2 linked regions of the Rattus norvegicus genome follow. The protein of the gene in region 2 purifies or fractionates together with the protein of the main gene of each other region. This does not show direct contact. Links are inferred from orthologs where the notes say so. Each region holds a gene or a part of one and is shown on either strand. Other genes may lie near its edges.

Region 1 (3,500 bases), about 11 Mb from region 2:
AGGTTAGCGTGGCCTGTAAGGAGTGAGGTCCCACTTAGTATGAGTGAGACCTTACTTCAAAATAAAGAAACGAGCTAAAAATGAATAAAGTCCCACAAGACTCTTACCTCTACTTTCTCTTTCAGTGCTTTAAACATGGACAAAATAACATGTTCTTCTTCTATCTGATGAACTTCTTCTCGACTAGGCCAAATGTCATGCAGGTAAATGTTCTTGCCTGTAGAGTCAGTACCTGATCAAAATTTCAATATTCAGTACACATATTAAAACAACAATGGAAAACCAACACCTCAAAGCTTTCTTATCTTTTCAAAGAATAGTCACGGAAATCAAGTAACTGATTTAGAACAGGGTGTGTTTCAGGTTTAAGTACTGCACGCCAACTGCATCTGCATCTTCTTTCTTCACATCAGCAGACACATTAATAGCAGAAAAATGGACGGTGTAAGGGAGTAACAAGCACTGCGTGTTTTCTTTCACATCAAGAATCTGTTTTAACAACTTCTGGGAAAAAGTGCACACAAGTATACATATAAACATACAGATAATATATAGGAAAACACACCTAATGGCTCTGTCTGGAAATCTATATTCACTGTGCCTGCTATGGCGTAAGCCACCACTAAGGGTGGAGAGGCGAGATAATTAGCACGGACACAATCACAAAGACGACCTTCGAAATTTTTGTTTCCAGATAAAACTCCACAGGTAACCAAATCACCCTAAGGGGGGAAAACAAATATACTTGATTCAAGAACTTATATATACTCACACAATTATAAAATTTGTCTCAAAAAATATAGTTCTGAGAGCCAGACAAACAAAAAACATTTCATTAACTTTTAAGTACAGAACTACCATTCTTATACTTTAGTAGTTCCTTATATTACTAAGGAATTATTTTTAAAATGTAGAAGTAATTCTTTGTATTACTTTAGGATCCACAAGTTACTCTTCCCAAGAGTTTCAAGTATAAATATCAACATACACATTGATGTACACTGTCTGTAATTCACTAACAAGATACAGTTAAAACGAGTTGGGGCAACTTTCAAAGAAGCTCACAATCCCACTCATAAGTATGTCTACTTTTTAAAATTAGCTTCTATTTCTTAACCCTGATGCTTAAGTAGATATTGAAGTATCCTTATTAAAAACAAAAACAATAAAAACACACCTAGATGTGCTAAGTCACATTTTACCTGTTTTACTGCATTCAAAATTGCTTCTGATAAAGGTGCTGTATTTCCTACACACGTTGAACATCCATAGCCAACTATTTCAAACCTGCATTTGAAAAGTGAAACATGACTGGATAGTATATTTATAGAGAAAGGACAAGTCTTATCTCTTTATTTCTGTTATCACAGTAAAATTACTGTTTTGCCAGCAGCACATTAATTTCACAGTTTTAAACATTAAAGTTCACTGGTAGCATGATTTGTACTGACTTTAAGTCTTACAAGAGCTTACGTATCTACAAGATCTGTACTAGATCAAAAGTATTTATCACTCAATATTAGAAAGCTCCTCTATTATAACTAGAACTGTATAAAGCCACTTTTAAAAAATCCACGTGTTTCCACTTGAAAGGCTCTAAAACATTAGGATGCCGTTACTCTAACAGCTCATTGAAGGTCCCAAAAGGGTAAGGAGACACTCTAGTGGGAGTACATCATTCAACTCTCAACTTCTCAAAGCACACACCTAAGAAGAATCCCTGACAGTAATTCCAAAATAAGATTACAAACATAAGCCTCTAAATTACTTTAGCTGCTGTTCTAAAGGCAAAATAAAAAAATCTAAAATTTATGAGGCTTTTAATAAGGACTGATAATTTATGTAAAAATATTATTTTCCAAAATTACACTATCATCACTTAACTAAGAAAGAAATGTAAAAGTTGTTTATCTTAAGCTTCACAGAAAATTAACCTGCATATTGTAGACCCAATAACTCTGCAAAACCTGAATCAAGACAATTTGTTCAATTCTCCTCACTGCTCCCCAATACAAGGTTTCTCTGTAGCCCTGTATGTCCTAGAACTACCTCTGTAGACCAGGCTGGCCACATACTCACAGAGATCCCCCTGCCTCTGTCTCCCAGGTGCTGGGATTAAAGATGCTCAATTAAATTATCCAACTTGCATTATTTTTTTACTCTTTTCTGAACTGAACATGGTTCATGAGAACTGGGTACTCCCTCACACCACTCTAACAGTGTCCCCACTGTGACTTGGTTTCCCGTCCTGAGGTTACGGACCATGCGCTTGACTTCCAAGTGCCTTGGTGATAAAATATTCCCAACGACCACCGGCTCCACAGACACCAGACTGTGTGATGATGGTAAGGGACAAGTGAAAGGCTCTCACAGTCCCGAGCACGGCAGGCAAGCATGGGCGCTGACAGGTTTTGTCTTTCATCTTTCCTTCTTCCTTGCTAAAAACCATTAAACTATCTTCTTAAAGCTGGTTCCCAAGATCAATTCCCCTACTTGCCACTGACTCAATTCCTGAGACTAAACACCAAGGTTCATCAATCAAAATTCATTATCTGGCTAACATATCTAATCAAGATTTACCAACTCATCCTAGCACAGATCTCCCTTTTCTCCTTAAAAATCCACTCCTGCAACAAAACAAAACAAAACAAAAAAACCCTGCTTGCTTCTTGCTGCTGCCACCGCCACCTGCCTTTGTAGCCTCCCCATCTGCTTGCCCCTCTGGGTATAAAATCTCCTTTGTGCTGAGAATTTGGTGTTTGGGTGTGTCCTGGACTGACTCTGAGGGGACTATCCACCCTTTTAAGTGGTATTTTTCCTTTTTACTTCTCTCTTTGATTTCTAACAAATATATTTATCACCTGTTGAATACCAGTCTAGGTGTGAATAACAGTAAATGTCACTTACCCTAGCTTGCTAAGGTAGGGTAACACTCCACTTGAACTGAGGTAATGTGTAACCATCCCACTGCCTGGAGACAAACTTGTTCTTATATAAGGTTTAACTCGTAGACCAGTTTCAACAGCCTTTTTAGCCAAAAGACCTGTAAAATCAACAATGTGTCCTTACCTTCTTCACATTAGAATAAAAACCAAGAAAAGGATGTCTTTAATATCATACTACAATTTATAGTAAAAAGCTCAAATTCATAAAAAAAGTTTAAAGTTTACGATTTTTTAATATCTATGAGTGCTTTATCTGTATGTACACCTGCAGGCCAGAAGAGGGCATCAGATCACATTTATAGATGGCTGTGAGCCACCATGTGGTTGCTGGGAGTTGAATTTAGGACCTCTGGAAGAGCAACCAGTGCCCTTAACTGTTGAGCCATCTCTCCAGCTTATAAAACCTTAATATCATTACTCTGTGCATTTTACTCTACATATTCAGTTCACTGAAGACAAATGAAAATTCTTAGTAAAGAAACATCATGCTGCAAATTATTATGGGTAGGCTAACACCATACCATCACACAAACAGGGGAAAAAGAATATGCATAC
Region 2 (4,193 bases):
ACGTCACTTATAAGAAAACAGTTTGGTAGAGAAAGGAGGTGCAAAGGGGGAAGCCAACAGAGCAGAGAATGCATCCTGAGGGCCTTGGCAGGAGGGTGGGGCAGAAGCTTTAGACAGAAGTTAGAATCTTGACAAAGCTCAGGGACTTTTGAGTATAGTTTTTAGTTCAATGGAAGGTTGATAGAAGGAAGATCAAACTGTGAAGGGAACCGGGTAAACCGGAGCAGAAGAAAGGGGAATCGAGAAGGCAGCAGCAGCTCATCATGCCTCTGGCCTACGGAAAAAATGAAACAGAATAAACAGATGAAACAGAGAGTGCTAATCGGAGGGCAGGGGAGAGAGGCAGACCTCAGGTGAGTGGGCTGGCCTTCTCAGGACCCTGGGGTCTGTCTTGTCACACATACCTAGTCCAGTGACTGCAAAAGCAACCAAGAAAAATGAACCCATCAACCTTCCCTTCTCTAGATTATCTTCTGGCCTTACCGGCGAATACGGACAGGAAAGAGGATAAAATTCCCCTTCACTTAGCAGGTTATTATGGGATTTGGGAAAGCAGGGTTTCCCCTCTCCTATCCTAGGCTTCTCCTTCTAAACTTAATTTGTAAAAGCTGTGTTATGTTCTTTGAACACCACTAAATCCTGAAATTAAGCCTTATCCCTTACTGAACACCTCCAGCTTTCTAGTGATTTGAGAAGTTTGATTTCTTTAAAAAGATATCAAGCTTGTCCCCACATTACTCTTCTAATCTCCCCTCACCCCCAACTAAAAGTGTTTGCTGCTCTGTACTGACTTGAAGGCAGGGAGAGCCAACACTTCTGGCCTCCAAGGACACACACAAACTTAAAAAAAAAACAAAACTTTTTTAATAGTTAAAAAGATAACTCTTTCATTTATTTTTTAAAAGTTTCAGTGGGTGGTGTTGGTTCTAAGACGGCTCAGTGGGTAAAGGGACCTGCCACCGAATAAGCCCAACGTCCTGGGTTTCCATCCCTAGGCCCCACTTGCTGGAAGGAGAAATCTAACTCCAGCAAAGTGTCCTCTGACCTCCGTACTTGCACTGTGACTTGCATGGGTGTGTGCCAACACAAAGTAACTAAATGAAGTAAAAGCCATTTAAAACTTCAGTATTCGATTCCAGTCTACTATCTAAAGAAACAGCCAACCACACCTCCACCTGCAGTCCCTGACTATCAGCTGCCTCCTTCTGGACAGCTAATTCTGTCTTCTCACCTCCACATTTTCTTCAGCTTATGCAACCTCTGACATATCCAGGTCCAAATTATTCTTCAAGGCCTAACTCGAGTAACTGTCTAACATCCTCACAGATATTTCCAGTCAATTTATCTTTCTTCTGAGTGTCCATATCTCCTACTTAAGCTCATGACCTCTGACTGAATTTTGTATTTTTGCTTATGTAGGTGTCATTCAATCCAAATTTGAGGACTAGAATCATCTCTCTTGCAGAGTTGTATCTCTGGTGCCCGGAAGTTTCCAGGTGCTATACACAGAGGTGATGGTAGGACAGGAATGTTTTGTGGAGATAGCACACTAGTAATTATCTTCTGCCTGGGGTTAAGTCATTAAGTCAGCCTTGCCTCCCTACCAAGAGATAAGGAAACCTGATTAGCTTCCCAAGCCATTCCATTTTTGGAATCATTCTTCCTGGCCTAAAATCCTTACCTAAATTGTATTTGTATGACCAGCTCTCTTGGTGCTACATCTAGGTCTTTTCGCTGTCAAAAAATAGGGCTAGCGGTGGAGCATACCTAATTTGTATGAGATTCTGGATTTTCTCCCCAACCCAGATAAATAATACTATAAATGGTGAGAGAGAGAGAGAGAGAGAGAGAGAGAGAGAGAGAGAGAGAGAGAGAGAGAGAGAGAGAGAGAACGAACGAGGACGAACAGGCATTATATTTACAATCACAAGTTTGGTTTTCTCTGCTCCTTACTGACAATGTGACCTCTGCGTAGTCGTTAAACCACCATCTCCCCGTCTGTGTAATGAAGACAGTCCCTCAAAGTGTTAAGTATCTGGGAGAATATATGCACACACTTAACTGTGTAAGAAAACTGTACATTTAAAGCCTCGCGCTGAGATGCCTATTCCTACCTCTTTACTTCCTATTGAATCTGTCACAGAAGAGAGTATCTGTGACCTTGGGTCAGTCCCCAACTCCGCCACTACCTGAGTGGCCTCAGTTATGGCGGGAGGAACCGCGTCCAGTAGCTAAAGAAGGAAAGACTCTCGACTAGTGAAATCTTAGGCATGCTTTGCTCCTTGACCACTGCAAGCTCATTCTGCCCACACCTCTTGACATAGTCACTAAAGTAGTCCAGGGGAAGGAAGCGTTTATGAATTCCAGGCTAAATTTCGCTCCTGGTTTAGAAATAGCCCGACATTGCTGTGTGACTTAGGACCCGGAAGAACACGCTTCCCTCTAGGTCTGGCAAAATCCCCAAGTGTCCACTCCAGCCCAAAGGTGAGGCCCTCCTCCACCCCCTCTCCAAAAAACCTTAAATGGTGCTCTGGGTAAATTACCATAAACTTCTAGCGCTTTCTCTTCCATGATCCGGGGCTGCCAGGCAGCTCCCTGCTCAGAAAAGCCTGAGAGCCATAGGACCCTGCTCAGCGTCCAGGAGAGCAGCCCAGACACTCGCTCCATCCTGACGTTCCGCCATCCCTGGCGACTGTCCCAACCGAGCCACCGTCTTTCCGCAGCCGATCTCAGAAGTTAACTTCCTGGACTTCAAATAAACCAAGACATGTGTAAAGGTTTAGGGGAGCAGAGAATAGGCGGGACTCAAAACAGTAACGCGAAGGACCTAGGGAAATTAACAGTAAAGACTACATGTCCCAAGATGCTTTGCTGGATTTAGATGGCACAGAAAAATCCTTAAGGCTCGTTAGGCGCATTGCATGCTGGGATGTCTAGGGGCGAAGTAGCCGAGGGCCGTCGAAATGCATCTGGGGCTTGTAGTCTCAGCCAGAGGATCGTGTAACGGACTGTTAGGCGTCACCAAGTGCCCCACACAGTTCCTAGGAAGAACTAAAGATGAATCCTGAAGAGGTAGGGAAAAGGAGATCAAGGTTACTACTATTGGAAGGTCTTCTAGAACAGAGACTTTTCTTTCTTAGAGGAAGCCACTTCCAATTTTTTCTTACTTTCTGATCAGGCCGGAAGTGGGTTTCCTTTGCGGTTAAAGAGGCTATTTTGGGAGACAAATGTTGATAGGCATGGCCACGGACAAGGAAGACTTGGTTTTCTTGTCTTCTAGAGACTTAGTCCAGCTCAACTTCTCTCCATGGGGAGTATATCTACCAACCACCACCCCAATTACAGCGAGAGAACTTTCTCTGTGTTCACTATGTATAGTGACGATAATGGAGATGACCATCCTAAAAAGGCATTTCTTAAGCTTTCTTGTGTTCTTGGCTGTGATGAGTGCCCATTACAGAGTTGATTGTGTTTCCACCTCACAATGTATATGCAGGAATAAAAGTTACAAACTAAGACACTCTCCCGACCTTCAAGCAGTTTACAGACTGTAAAGGAATCCACCTCTCATGTTGAGTTTGCAGTTGCAAACAGCCAACTTCGCTAGGCCTGGTGGCTTGTGCCTGTAATTCCAGCACTTGGAGGCCGAAGGAGGAACATTGCCACCAGTTTGAGGCCAACTTTGGATACAGAATTTCAAGCCCGTTTAAATGAGACTTTGTTTCAACCAGAAAAGCAAACCAGGTCTGTTGGTTTTAATGGCAGTTTTCGTGTCCTTGAAAAGAAAGGGTCATCTTGCAGAATTAGTTCGTGATAACATAACCTACGTTATCTTTTAACTCTAGTTGACTGCGACTCACCAACCTATGATTAAGTCCCAGGAAATTTTGATCCAATCCCAACAATATCCCTGCCATTTCACTTCATTGTCATCGGAAATATAACCCCAAATTCTTAGAGATCGAATTTAATACACTGAGATCTCGCCTTTGTGTAAAGCCTGGTTTCTCCCAAAAGAATCGATAATGTTTTTTATTGTTGCACACTGTAACACTGAGTGTGTTTAAATTGTTGATTTACAAGACTGCCTCATTAAACTGTAAGCACTCATTAAACTGTGAGCCAGGAGCTTTTGTATTTGTATTTGAAACGCACAGTAAGGTGCCAAACTCACAGTGAATGCTCTGTATATA

The links. The genes of interacting proteins can lie anywhere in the genome.
Region 1: the proteins of Ciao2a (region 2) and Ireb2 purify together in Homo sapiens (affinity purification with mass spectrometry; 3 studies listed by BioGRID and IntAct, with this or other methods). This does not show direct contact. The link is inferred for Rattus norvegicus from reciprocal best matches to the Homo sapiens genes CIAO2A and IREB2.

What each region holds. Positions count from the first base shown.
Region 1 is NC_086026.1:64,192,088-64,195,587, reverse strand, and holds part of Ireb2 (iron-responsive element-binding protein 2), read right to left. Parts: intron 3,044-3,500; coding exon 2,908-3,043; intron 1,288-2,907; coding exon 1,203-1,287; intron 723-1,202; coding exon 566-722; intron 233-565; coding exon 108-232; intron 1-107. UniProt on the Homo sapiens protein: RNA-binding protein that binds to iron-responsive elements (IRES), which are stem-loop structures found in the 5'-UTR of ferritin, and delta aminolevulinic acid synthase mRNAs, and in the 3'-UTR of transferrin receptor mRNA.
Region 2 is NC_086026.1:75,564,227-75,568,419, reverse strand, and holds the start of Ciao2a (cytosolic iron-sulfur assembly component 2A precursor), read right to left. Parts: upstream 2,801-4,193; 5' UTR 2,668-2,800; coding exon 2,544-2,667; intron 1-2,543. UniProt on the Homo sapiens protein: Component of the cytosolic iron-sulfur protein assembly (CIA) complex, a multiprotein complex that mediates the incorporation of iron-sulfur cluster into extramitochondrial Fe/S proteins.